Linked DNA regions of Drosophila melanogaster. The protein of the gene in region 1 purifies or fractionates together with the protein of each later gene. This does not show direct contact. Each region holds a gene or a part of one and is shown in the gene's direction. Other genes may lie near its edges. The genes, in order: spn-A and Rrp6.

Region 1 (5,658 bases):
TCTTAATACGCTTTTATTTTTCCGTTTTCTTTGATTGCTGCTTCGTAAACAGTGTGGCAGCAGGGTGGAAAAATACTGCCAACGAGGTGGGAGCGCTTCGAGTATATACCAGAAATACACAACATATGGAAATAACGGCCTATTGGCTACAGTGAATACAAGATACATTTACATTTTTTTATTTGTGTATTTCGCTATTTGTAAAAAAAGCGAGAATTTAATTGAGAAAACGAGTATCTTTTATTTCTGAAATAAGCACTATGCTGTTTCAACAATATCTCTGTTAATTCCAGACTATCTGGCTGATAAATGTTTCCCAGTCACGATCGATAGTGTGGGGATGGATTGAAGTTAATGACAAGTTTTATTTATTTTGTACGAAGTCACACCTAGCTCTTATCTTATGTACTCCCACCTAAGCCTTGGGCACCACTGAACTGCTATTGGGGGACACCAGCTCATCGCCGCCTCCGTTGTTGCCCACATCCGCCAGCGGATCCGCGTTCTGGCCACCAACTGAACCGGCATCCGTGTCCAAGGCCTCGCTCAAGCCATCATCGTCGTCGTCATCACCGCCAGATTTGTTGTACACGGTGGGGTACTTCTGGAAACAGTCGCGCATCTTGGTGAAGGCATCGTAGCAGTCCGATCCCTTGGGATCGGCGGTGCTGTTCTGGAAGCAGGAAAATGCCTCACGGAAATCGACGCCACAGGGACCGGTGGCCATGCCGCCGAGGCAGGGACAACTCCAGTTGATCTTGCCGTCCTTGGTGATCACGCCCTCCGGCTTTTCCGGCGGCGGCAGCTCGATGGTGCTGGGCGTGGCATGGTCCTCCTTGGTCACAAAAATCACCTTGTCCTTGCCGTACTCCTTGCAGTAAGAGAATGACATCCTGATGCGGTAATGCTAGTTAAATGCTACAAACTCCTCGGGGGATTCCTCAAAATCCAAGGGCTTTCGGGATGTGCTGAGCACCTGAAAATGGCAGGGCACCTCCTGGTAGTATCCTATTAGGGCTATAGCTACGCGAACGCGATCCAGGACGTTCTCGGGCACCCGGAGAATGGAGCGTTTTTGGCTGGAACTAAATTTCACAATTTCCAGTATGGTCTGGCCACCTATTTCGCCAAAAATACTAGCCAAGGAGCTATGGATGCAGCCACAGAAGAATACGGGCGTCAGAGTCACGGAGTCTGGATCACGGAGTTTTCTGGCGATTAAAAACGTGAATTATCTTAATTATATTTGCATGATGCACGTGCGCACGTGGGAAATACGGGGCTTTAAGGAGCGGGGCTGAGTGCCCGGAACTCACATCTTCACGTCCAGATATTGGTAACCACTCATGCTTTGGGTGCAAGTGCCAGTGCCCCTCTTTTTTTGGCGGAATCTTCGGGAAAAGTCGTCCAAAAGTTGCCGGTCAGTGTGTTTTTTTTATGTAATTACTCCCCTTTTTTGCTGTTTCTTTCTGCTTCTCAAACAGCTGTGCGCCGCCAGAGATGCCAGCTCGGCTCACAACGGACATGAGTAGTTATAAAATAGCTAAAATTATAGCCATTTATTAAAACATTTAAATTGTTATTGGAACTACTTAAATGCAATTTTATTAAAATGGTTACAAGTTTATGGGGTTTTTCCGCTTTTTAATCTCATTTAGTAGCCATCACAGAAATCATTTCAGTTCGTTGTGAATGACAAAAAAATCAGATCACAGTAAAATCAGTTAGGATTCAAATTCAAATTCTTCATGACGGTTATAATGTATATTACACTGAGTATTACAATTCGCTAGTCCTAATCATCGGACACAACCGCGACAGTCTTTTCAATGCTCTTCTCAAAGTCCAGCGATGATTTGGATGTTTCCAAGATCTCAAAATGACAGGGTATCTGCTGGTAGTGACCGATGAGCTCAATGGATATGCGGGTCATGTCGTGCAGTTGCTCTGGCACTCGAAAGATAACACGATGTTGCTGGGCGCAGAACTTCACGATCTCCAGTGTGGGTTTCTCCTCGCAGAAGAAACTGTCCAGGGCGTCAAGAACGCAGCTTCGAAACAGAGATGGGGTCAAAGCAACTGCAGTCGGATCCCGAAGTTTACTATTAAATAAATGAATATATTTACTGAATTTAATAACAACCAAGTTTATATTAATGACCGCAGAACATCATTCTACTCACAGTTTGATGTCGAAATAGTAATAGTTCGCCATGGTGATCTTGCGCGTTCCTTTTAAGCGGGATCCTCTGTAGTGATAGAGTTTTGTGCGTTCGGGGCGATTGGCAAACTGATTTTGCAGTGAATTGCGCGCCGCGCAGTCTTTGTCGAAATTCTCTCACGCAAGACGTGCAATTTAAATAACGAAACTCGAAACAACAAATAGTCAAATTTAACTTCGAAACTGTCAAATGGAGAAGCTAACGAATGTTCAGGCACAGCAGGAAGAGGAGGAGGAAGAAGGTCCACTCAGCGTGACTAAGTTAATAGTGAGTAGGCTGCGATCTCGACCAGGATTATTATGGGCATTCCCTACGATATCCTCCTCCTAGGGCGGCAGCATCACGGCCAAGGACATCAAGCTGCTCCAGCAGGCCAGTCTGCACACCGTGGAGTCGGTGGCCAATGCCACCAAGAAGCAACTGATGGCCATTCCCGGCTTGGGCGGCGGCAAGGTGGAGCAGATCATCACGGAGGCTAACAAACTGGTGCCTCTGGGCTTCCTTAGTGCTCGCACCTTCTATCAAATGCGTGCCGATGTCGTGCAGCTGAGCACGGGCTCCAAGGAGCTGGATAAACTGCTGGGCGGCGGCATTGAGACGGGATCCATTACCGAGATCTTTGGCGAGTTCCGCTGCGGAAAGACCCAATTGTGCCACACTCTGGCAGTAACCTGCCAGCTGCCCATCAGCCAGAAGGGCGGCGAGGGCAAGTGCATGTACATCGACACGGAGAACACCTTCCGTCCGGAGCGTTTGGCTGCCATCGCGCAAAGGTACAAACTGAATGAATCCGAGGTGCTGGACAATGTGGCCTTCACCCGTGCCCACAACTCAGATCAGCAGACCAAGCTCATCCAGATGGCGGCGGGCATGCTCTTTGAGTCCAGATACGCTTTGCTGATTGTGGACAGTGCCATGGCGCTCTACAGATCCGATTATATTGGTCGCGGGGAGCTGGCCGCCAGGCAAAACCATTTGGGCTTATTTCTGCGCATGCTTCAACGCCTGGCCGATGAGTTCGGAGTGGCTGTGGTAATTACTAACCAGGTTACTGCCTCGCTGGACGGCGCACCCGGCATGTTTGATGCCAAGAAGCCCATTGGCGGGCACATCATGGCCCACTCCTCAACCACGCGGCTGTATCTGCGCAAGGGTAAAGGCGAAACCCGCATCTGCAAGATCTACGACTCGCCCTGTTTGCCGGAATCGGAGGCCATGTTCGCCATTCTGCCGGATGGAATAGGAGACGCCAGGGAGAGCTAATTGTGCTCACTTATAGGTTAATTAATGCTAGGAATAGAGCTCCCTAACTTTCTAATGATTACTTATCCCTAGACTAAGAATTAAACTTCGTAGATTGTTTTTTTTTTTGTTTTAATGTTTACTTAGAATGTTTAGGATAACGACGAAATAAAACAGCCGTTGCGAATTGTATGTACCATCTATATTTAATTCAATATTATTCAAATCATCTACAAACTTAGAAAATATTTAGGGGTTTCGAAGCAAAAACCTTTTTTTTAGTCTGGTAATAAGCGGATGCAGCAGGAAAAGCCCCATCAGCGCAGCGTAACACGACATGCACCTGGCAGGCAAACAGAATTAAGGAATTTAGCTGAATTTTTAACCTAGAATTAAGCATAGCCCACTTGGCTCATCAAAACTTTGTCATCCAAAGCACGGTCTTTAAGTTGCCTGGTTTGTAACGCTTACGAGTAACTGCAAGAAAGAGGATTCTTGAAGATGTGTTTCAACTCAGCGGTTTGCGGTTTCCCATCCTACCTTATCATGTAATTGGTCCAGCAGAACTGGTCCTCGATCATTTACTGTGGAGCCGATCCGGCTGAAGCGGCGGCCTCCTTGGCCAAAACCAGGCTATTATATCCGCGCTCGTTCATCCCGACGCGAAGGTTTTCGTTGATATTTTTCGTATAGGTCTTGTAGATTTTTACCTTTTCGCAGAAGTCGATCCAAAAGTTGTCCTCGCTCTCGGGCTCCGGATTGAAGAGACTCTTGAAGCCATCGTATATGCCAGAGGAGACCTTGCGTATGGTCTGCGCCCTCTCCTTGAACTCCACCTCGTCGGACAGGTCCATTTTCCAGAGCTCCAGATTGCCCACATACCGGCGAAGTCGGCGCATTATGTCCACGCACTCCGGATTGCGCAGCAGCATCAACTTGGTGAACTCCACCTCCTTGAACTGCTCGAGGATCTCCAGGCATTTGCCCACATTGGCGCGCCGCAGGCCCAAACATTCGCGCAGCTGCTGGGAAAGTTGGATGAAGTCTCGCTCCATGAAGAGGGCATCCTCGTGCTCAATGAGCTCCTCGATGAATCGCAAAGCCTCCTGCTTGGGTATTTCGCTGCGTGTTGGCTCCACCACGATCCTATCGGGCATGGACTCCGGATTGATTTGGCCGCTCTCTAGTTTCAGTTTGAGCTCCAAGGCTTCTTTGCGGGCGTTCTCCATCCAGGCTTCCTCGGCAGCGGCGCTTTCGAAACTCTCCGGCTTTTTGTAGTTTATAACGATTCCCAAACACTTGGCTGTGGGCATGTACACCATGAGCATCTCGTTCCGGATGTTCTGTTTGGGCAAAAATGGAAATCAATGTATCGTAATTCATACTAGTTTATGTCTGGTGGTATTTCTGCATCGCACTTACATTGACTGGCCGCGACCGCTTCTGAATCGGAGTTACTGCAGCCGTGGGCTTGGATTTCTTCACTGATTTCTTGCTGGAGGTGGGGGTCGCCGCAGCCGGAGCAGCGGGGATGGCTGCGGCGGTAGCCAGACCCTCGGTGGGAACCCTTCGCTTGGCCGGCGGAGGTGCTAGTTCCGCGCCTGCTTCACTATCCCCGTCCACATGGCGCGGTGGTGCCTTGGTCTTCCGGGTGCCGCTCTTCTTGGGCTTCTCGGCCGCTGCTGCGACTGGTGCAGCAGTGGCTGGCTCCGGTCCCGGCTCCGGCTTGGGCTCCTCCGTCTTGACGCCATCACCAGTTGTGGGCGGAGCAACTGGCTCCGCGCCGTCGAGCAAATCAATGGGCGCCGAGTCCTCGCCGCGCAAGGCGCTCTCGATCTGATCGATGGCCTCGATGAACTTGGCCCGCTTCATGATCTTCTCGGTGGCGAAGCGCTCCTTGTTGCTGGCGTACGGGAACAGATCCTCCAACTTGATGTTGGCCGTTTCGCCCGTGCCGTAGAAGTAAACATTGTACTTCTTGTTGTTGTTGCTCTTGGTGATTTTGGCCGGCCAGGGCGGATAGCCCTTCACCTTGGCGAACACCAGGTCGCCAATGCTGTAGGAGGCGGCCGCCTTTTCCTTACCCATTTCGTTTGACTTCTAGCTCGTTTGGTTCGCGTGCAATACCAATATCTTTTGCCGTATTTCTGCGGCGTCTGCTTTTCTTCTTTTCGTCTCGCGCTTTCTTAGATAT
Region 2 (8,048 bases), about 15 Mb from region 1:
ATTTTTTATGGTTCATTTAACCTACAGATACTTAGCTTGACCCCTGGAGAACTTGGTGTTCAATATCTTGGCCTTGTCTACAATCTGCTTGGTCTGATTCTTGTCGATCTTGTTAAGTTTCAAGTCCACATCCCTACTAAAAGGTCTTCGTTCTGGCTTGGAACCCGATGCAGCCAGTTCTTTTTCCTTAAATTTATAACAATATTATATCCATATTATGTTTTTAAGAAATATTTTTCCTCGTACCTTTTCTCTCTGCTCTTTCCTAAGCTTTTTTTGATGTAGCTCCACTAGGGACTCCTCTCGCTTGTGCTTCTTTTTGTGCCTCTTGGCCATGCTCTCCTGCTCGTCATCCCGCTGCTGTTCGTACTTGACCTGTGCCATTTGCTCGAGTTCCTTCGAACTGAGCGACTTTGGGCCCGATGCAGCAGCATCCGCTTCACTCTGCGGGGTCTTCGTCCAGGATGATCGATCGCTAAAGTCGGGTCGCTCTTTTCCCTGATAGAAAGTGCGCTTCATATTGCTCAGGGCGGCAAGGCCGCTCTTCAGTCCCACATCTGGCAGCTCAAGCATCCACTCTTCGCGGACATCTTGGTCTGTAGATGTACCCAATCCCCCGCCCTCCAGAGCTGCCAGTTTAAGTGCCAAAGCACGTTCCTCCAGAGCCACTTGACTGGCATTTGGCAGAGGACCAAAGGTGCCAGCTAGGTCATCATCGTCCTCAGCTTCCGCTTCCTTAGTAGGAGACTTTTCCCGGGTCAAATTGCTGGGCAGGACGGGTCCTATCATGGCCTGCGGTTGTGGGGCTGGTTGGCTTTGCTCAGGGAGTTCCGGCTGCTGGGTCTTCCTTAAATGCGGCGGTAAAGCGGGACCAAAGGAATCTTCGTTGTTTGTAGCCACATCTGGCGGAGATGCATTAATTAAATGTGGAGGTTGCGTGTAAGGCACAGGTGGCTCCTCCTCATGCTTGCTGCGTTTCTTCTCCTTGTGGCGACGCTTTTCTTTCTTGTGCTTTTTCGACTTCTTCTTTTTGGACTTGTCCACATCTTTGCTGTGCTTCTTAAGCTTCCGTTTCCTTTGCCTTTCATCGCTGGACGAATTGCTATCACTACTATTGTCGTCGCTGGACATGATCTGCAAATACAATTAATGAAATAATAAGTAAACCAAGATATTCCTGAGGTTATAAAGAGGTCCATTGGATGTGAAAAGAGAGAATCCCCAAGAAAACTCAGGTCTTTGGATTGGGCTAAACATTATATTGCAGTTAACAACTTTAAAGCTTAAAAGTATTTAACAAAATGCAGCTGGATGGGACAACTTAGTCGGTAGAATGATTGGCAGCCAGGGGATTAACCCGAAAAATAAACCTAAACAGCGAATGTCTTTTGAGCCTTGCGATAGCTATACGCCAATGACTTGAGAATGCCAGCACTGGGAATATTTTTGATCGATTGCGTGACACTGCTGCGCCACACAATGTCGTTGACGGATGCCTGCAGCACCTCCGGAAGCTGGGAGGCCATGGATAGGTGATTCACCACCTGGGTGTAGTCGCCACGACAGGCGGCATTTCGCTGCAATCGCTTCTGAAGCTCTCGGGGCAACTGTCGCAGGTGTTGGCATGTAGCCGATGAGGATTTGTCCTGCTCGAAGATTATGGCTGGTTTCCGGCTCCCTGGTTCCTGGCCCTTCATGTTTACCGCCACATAGTCGGAAAGTTGTCCCAGGGAGGGTTGGTATAGGGCGAAGAAGTCATTGATTTGCGGACTAACTATGTTGTGCACTTTCTGTTTGTTTTCCCCGAAAATCATACGGAAATCGCCCTTGTAACTCAGTCCGGCGATGGTGTGGAAAAGTCCGTAGGCAGTGAACTTCTCTGGTAAAAGTAGCAGAGCCACTTGCAGCGCGGATACAAGATTCCTCTCCAGCGCAGCCTTGAGGGGAGGATTATCAGAAGGATTGACCAGATTCGTCACTGGTTTGTGCAGCCTTCCTGCCAAGTAAAGATGCCGCCAGTCAAGCAGATCCTCCAGCAGCTCCTCCTGCGACACCACGCCGTACTTTATGGTAATGCCCACATCTGGCAGAGGCACCAACGTGTTGCAATAGACACCCGCACCCAAACGCTCCTGATACTTGGCCACAAAGTTCGGTCCCAGGTGCCTAAGGGCGGAATAGTGGTCCGGATGACGGTGCAGGTTCTCCGCATGGAAGCCCCTAGCATCACGAACGCAAAAGACCAGATCCACAACGGTTCCCGGCGGAGGACGCAGGTTGTTTCCATTGCCGACTTTTCCATAGCCTTCCTGCTGTTTGACGCCGGATCCGTAGGCGAACATATAGCTGACACTGCCCAGAGGAAACCGCGCCACCGTGCGTCTGTATAGGTCCAGCATCTTGTGCGTGTTTTACCTCCTAATTGGACTAAACTTAGGCTTTATAATTACTTTTTTTTTAGCACGTAACTCCACTTCTTCTGGATGGAGTTGATGCTTCTCGGTCAAGCTCCTCGCTTTTCGCCGGCGCCGGAGGGGTGTACACACTGGCAATCAGCTGGCTGAAAATTTTGTTCAGGGTTTCACTTGAACAATTTAGCGCCCTCTTGAAAAAATAAAAGAAAAGACCAAATATTTAACAAAGAAAATATTTATTCAGTTTAATTTATATTGAAAGGAATATATATTTAGTTCAATATAATAATAACATTTTGCTTTTAAAAAGAATTTGTAAAGTATTGTTCATCAAAGCAGGTTCTGTTTACGGTTTAACATAACGAAATATCACCATTCCAAATTTGGCTAACATTTGTAAAATACACCTTCATATCGATTTAATTCGATTGCGGTCAGCACCGTTTTAGTGCTATATAGTGATCAAATTTCGCCGCCGGTAGTGTTGACAAACTCCAAATTCAAGCTGTTGTTATTCTCAAAAAAGAAGAAGAGAAAACACGCACATTTTCCACAATCTGTAAAACGACAAAAAATTTGTACGAAAATAACACAAGACATTCGACAAGGAAACACTATACAGACATGCCGCGAACCCCGAAAAGAGTTCACCAGGAGGCCAAAGAGGAATCGGCCCAAGCAGACCAGCCGCCAAAGAAATCCGCTTCAGAAGATGTTGAGGCATTCACAAACGTGGGTAGCAATTCAGCCAGCGTACATAAGTATATTTCAATCCAATCCCTACGTGTTCTGCTCTGACATTCCAGAAAGGGTTCAAGAATGCAATCGCCGCCACAAAAGCCGCTAATGCTTTCCCACAAGGAACAGCCCGCGCCCTTTACCTAAGCTATCCAGGCTACGCACGTGTTATGGAAGACCTGACCCAACGGGTGGTGGCGCTCATCGGGAACGTGCTGCACTCCAAGGACATCAAGGGCGACATCAAAAAGTAAGCTTCTAACCATGACATTATTCGAAATGTTGAAAATACAGCACAGCCATTGAAATCAAAGTTGGTACCTGTATCTGTAAATAACAATAGATCTTTATTCTTTAAACAGACGCCAACCGGAAGAGCAGTTTGAGATGGTGCAGGAGTGCAACGACGTACTGTTCGAGCGCATTACGACTAATCTAGACATTAAAGGTGGTCTGCGAAGAAATACACAACAGGTCGTAGAGGCCCAGGTGGACGTGATGAGCAGCTCCACATCCATAGAGCCCGCAGTAGCTTCCCCACAAACCCAAGGGACTCCAAAGGCAGGCAGCTGGAACAGAACGACAGGAACACCCCAACGCAGCATGGTTTCGGCTCGTCTCTTCACCGCCAAGAACATCGTTCGGCCGCAGACGCAATTTAGGGAGCCGGTGGATAACAGTGCCCAGAATCCGTTTGTTCCAAGACTCAAGGAGAAACCTAATTCTCTTAAACCGCTGGCCCTGCTGCCCGAATACGATGATGCCGGCAATGTCCAATCCTATTTGCATCCCTACGAGTTTGAGCTGCTTAAGTTTCAGCCTCCGGAGGAGCAGTTCCAAAAACAAAAGCCAGTGCTTCCAGCTCTGATGGCAGAAACCGAACTAATGGTGGTTGACACGGTGGAAAAACTGAAGCAGGCATTGGAGGAACTGAGACAAGCGCCCCAGATCGCCATAGATGTGGAGCACCACTCGTATCGCACCTTCATGGGCATCACTTGCCTGGTCCAGATGTCTACTCGCAGCAAAGACTATATTTTTGATACCCTGATCCTACGCGATGATATGCATATACTAAATTTGGTACTCACCGATCCCAAGAAGCTGAAGATACTGCACGGCGCCGATTTGGATATTGAGTGGCTTCAGCGGGACTTATCGTTGTATATCGTCAACATGTTCGACACGCATCGGGCTGCCAAAGCCTTGAATATGGCAAGGTTATCGTTGGCATATTTGCTTAAGCACTATCTGGACTTGGATGTGGACAAGAGCCTGCAACTGGCCGATTGGCGGATGAGACCGCTTCCCCAGCAGCTGGTGGACTACGCTCGTCAGGATACCCACTTTTTGATATACGTTTACGGACGGATGACAAACGATCTGCTGCAGCAGCATGCCGAACCAGGTCTGCTGGGCAGTGTCTATCAACAGAGCACGGATGTCTGCAAGAAGCGTTATAATAAGCCTCACATCGGACCAGAATCCCATTTGGATTTAGTAAGAAAAACGAAGCGCTCTTTCGACAACCGGCAACTGTACGCACTTCGCGGAATCTTCGAGTGGCGCGATGCGACGGCGCGGTCAGAGGACGAGAGTTACGGCTATGTGCTGCCCAATCACATGATGCTGCAAATCGCTGAGAGTCTTCCAAGGGAGATGCAGGGAATCCTCGCCTGCTGCAATCCCATTCCGCCGCTGGTGCGCCAACAGCTGCACACGCTTCACCAGATTGTCCTCAAGGCGCGCGATCAGCCGCTGGTCAAAGTGAGTTTCTTGGCGGTTTCAAGCAGCGCTTGCAACTCGATCAACGTTGGCGCCTATACCGATAATTTTTCATTACCAATTAACTGTAACTAACATTGAAATGAAGAACATGTTCTGAATTCACCTTATAGTTCAATTCATTTCACAACCGCAGGTCAACTAAAATAGGTTTAATGTTACCAAGTGTTGGGGTGGTATATCTAATGTTTAATGTTCTTGACTTTACTTACGATTTTAGCCGATCCTGGAAGCCCACAGTAGTACACAGGCAGCGTTGCCTCCGTCGACCAAAGACTTTAGCAGCAAGCTCTACTGTCCGCACGATTTTTCGCAACTGGAGGAGATTCGCGACGACCTGCCAACGCTGTTGAAACGTAATTCAACTACAGGAAAACTGGAGGTGCCCAATAAGGAGGAGGTTGCCAAAGTAGATCCAACCTTAGCGGCACCAGCCATGGCTCTGTTCGAAAAGCAGTCCAAGCCGACACAAGAAGAGGAACAGCGCTGGGCCCATCTTCGCAAGGAGAGCCAGACAATGCGTATGCCCTACAAACGCTATCTCGCCATCCTACCTCTGATGGTGCAGCTGAAGGCCGATCAGTTGGCCAGGGAGCGAAGTGAGTTGCAAAAGAGGCAATTGTGTCCAGCAGCCCCAACTGTGGAGCAAAACATTAAGCTGGAGGCACACGCCATCGGAAAGGAGGATGATGACATGTACTCCGTCCCGCTGAAGGAACAACTGAAGCGCAAGCACCCACAAGCGAACGTGAAAACAGATCCGGAACAGCAGCCGACTGCTAGCAAGCGACCTCGCAAGGACGAGAATTCACAAACCAAACCGCCGGTAAAGATCGAACCAGTCGAAAAAGTTCAGCAGGCTTTAGGCGAAAGCGATGATGAGGTCGTTGAGGTTCCTATCGAAAGGCAAGCCACAGAGCCACCGAAACCATCACCGGCACAGAACAACCGCAAGCAAAAGAAAAATCAGTTCCAGCGCGGATTCAAGGCCAAGAATCGAGGAAACCACCCGCAGAGCTCCAGTCAGCAGGTTCCGCAGCACAAGGGTACAGGCAACTTTGACTACAAGAACGTGGACTTCCGGCAATTCAAGGGAGGAGCGCAAAGAGCCCGGGGCACAGAAATCAAGCAGCAAATTCGCGGCAAGGTGAGTGCTATGAAAAGTATTAACAAGCTGGCTTAGCTTTTACTGAAACGATCTCTTCACTAAACATTTATAACGCTTGTTTTTTTTTTTAGAACCGTCCCAACAATCGGAACAACAAGCAGTTCAACAAGCTTTTTACATTTAGTAATGTAAGAAAAGAGGGCAAAAAATGAACTGCAATCGTGACGAAGTCTGTAAAATATACATAACTGGTATATATGTGAATTCAATAGTAAGAATGCGAGCAACACGAAAACTGATTGATGAAACTGATGAAGAAATAAACAAGTGTTTATTTTTGATTGTTTATAAATTCTTTTCAAGTTACAAAACTATTTTTTCTGAGCTTTGCAATTTTCTAAAATATTACCTATTAAATAACAACCGTAACTATTCATTAAACTAGACTATCGGATATGTTGTTATGGATCGGTTTGTAGTTCAATATTTAAGAACAGTTTTAAGAGATGGTCATTGAAAAAATATGGGAAAACCAAATAATAATTGGGACGTGGGAAATGTCATGGTAATAGGTTTAAATTTCAAACTTATTTCGTCACAACGAATTTTGTATGATTTAATTCCTAATTGGATGGCATCTCAATTTTTCGAAAACTTTTCTAGCATTCAAACCAATACAAGAAAGGACAAAAGAACTTAATTTAAAATAGGAAAAAACCTGTTTCGGGCATTTAAATATTTGGAAGAAATACAGAAGTAAAACATGGACTAAAATAATACGATAATTTCTCTATCTAACTTTAGCTTAAGTAGGATGTGGAAAGTGAGTTCCTAAAGCTCTAGTGCTGGCCATTAGCCCCAATCTTGAGCTGAAACTACAGAGTTTTGAACATTTTGTCGCCCTCGATGTCCATGCAGTGCTCCACAACAGCATAGACCACCAGAAGTCGTCGCTCCACTCCTTTTTTATGCTTATCCGTAATCAGGGGATAGAGAGCATCCTGCTTGGATAGTCGATCGATGATTTCCGTGAGTACGCCGCCGGAAAAGACTTGCAGGCGATCCCACGTGGACTTTCGCAGACTGTAAGGTATAAACGTAAATAGTTATAGGTATTTGGAAATTGGTCGAAGACTTACAGGCAGCATTGGTAGAGTGGCGCCAATATGTCCAAGTGATCCTTGTTCGGGTTTCCGAAGGCTTTTCCATTGTCTATAAGCACCACGCGCTCTTCCCGCGTCTCGTAGTGATGCCGATCTCCATTTTGGATTAGGTAGTCGAAAATAGACGCATCTATAAGGTCCAGCAGGCGGATGGTCTCCATTTTATTTTTCAACGATCTGAAAAATAATATTTTTGATTTAGAAGTTTATAGAGTGAAGTTGAAGTGTGGAACTCACTTGCAATAGGTCATATCGTCCTCCCAGGGCGCCCGCTTGTCATCCTTGTAGGTGCGTTGCCACGGTGATCGCCGCTTAGCCAACGTACCCGGAACAATATATATGAGCACACCTTCAATGTTGTGCCGCTCATCGCCACAAACAGTCTCCTCCTCGTTGCAGTAGTGACACTTCCCGAACAGGCAGTACTTCTCCCTGCCATCCTCGTCCGTTTCGATGTTTATGGTTTGCTGGAGTTCCGGATCGCCTTTGGCATATATCTCCTTCTTCAGGTTCACCACTCGACCCACCACTATGGGCGTCCATCGAAAGTCGAGCACGGCGCCCAGATAGAAGGCATATACTTCCGCCGTGTGGCGATCCTTGCCACTGTATATCATGCCATCGATGACCTCTTCCCGCGGATACCATTGCGGCTTAAAGATCACCTTCTGCTGGTGGGAAAGGCGGACGAGGAGCTTCAGTTGCGTGCCCCGACCCAGGTTGCTCACCCGGGTGATAGGTTCGCGGCGCAGTGTTTCTAAAAGCTGTCCCATCGATGAGTCGTATAAGGGATAGACCTCGTTTTCGTGCGGCCACTGAAAGTCACCGAATGCTTAGTGA

Evidence for each region.
Region 2: the proteins of spn-A (region 1) and Rrp6 purify together in Drosophila melanogaster (affinity purification with western blotting, with the first as the bait; one study listed by BioGRID). This does not show direct contact.

The regions. Positions count from the first base shown.
Region 1 is NT_033777.3:30,052,693-30,058,350, reverse strand, and holds spn-A (spindle A), read left to right. Parts: upstream 1-2,313; 5' UTR 2,314-2,411; coding exon 2,412-2,489; exon of another isoform or gene 2,490-2,552; coding exon 2,553-3,485; 3' UTR 3,486-3,655; downstream 3,656-5,658. Other genes in the region: CG7950 (uncharacterized protein), read right to left, coding at 416-892; Rpp14a (ribonuclease P/MRP subunit p14 a), read right to left, coding at 908-1,211, 1,317-1,348; Rpp14b (ribonuclease P/MRP subunit p14 b), read right to left, coding at 1,796-2,102, 2,184-2,215; Jasper (JIL-1 anchoring and stabilizing protein), read right to left, coding at 4,046-4,807, 4,887-5,552. UniProt on the Drosophila melanogaster protein: Plays an important role in homologous strand exchange, a key step in DNA repair through homologous recombination (HR). Binds to single and double-stranded DNA and exhibits DNA-dependent ATPase activity. Underwinds duplex DNA.
Region 2 is NT_033777.3:14,880,933-14,888,980, reverse strand, and holds Rrp6 (Rrp6), read left to right. Parts: upstream 1-2,734; 5' UTR 2,735-3,038; coding exon 3,039-3,146; intron 3,147-3,220; coding exon 3,221-3,402; intron 3,403-3,514; coding exon 3,515-4,919; intron 4,920-5,157; coding exon 5,158-6,084; intron 6,085-6,176; coding exon 6,177-6,257; 3' UTR 6,258-6,483; downstream 6,484-8,048. Other genes in the region: CG33332 (uncharacterized protein), read right to left, coding at 22-186, 247-1,131; CG33331 (uncharacterized protein), read right to left, coding at 1,371-2,399; CG3631 (uncharacterized protein), read right to left, coding at 6,921-7,128, 7,185-7,385, 7,446-8,023. UniProt on the Drosophila melanogaster protein: Catalytic component of the RNA exosome complex which has 3'->5' exoribonuclease activity and participates in a multitude of cellular RNA processing and degradation events.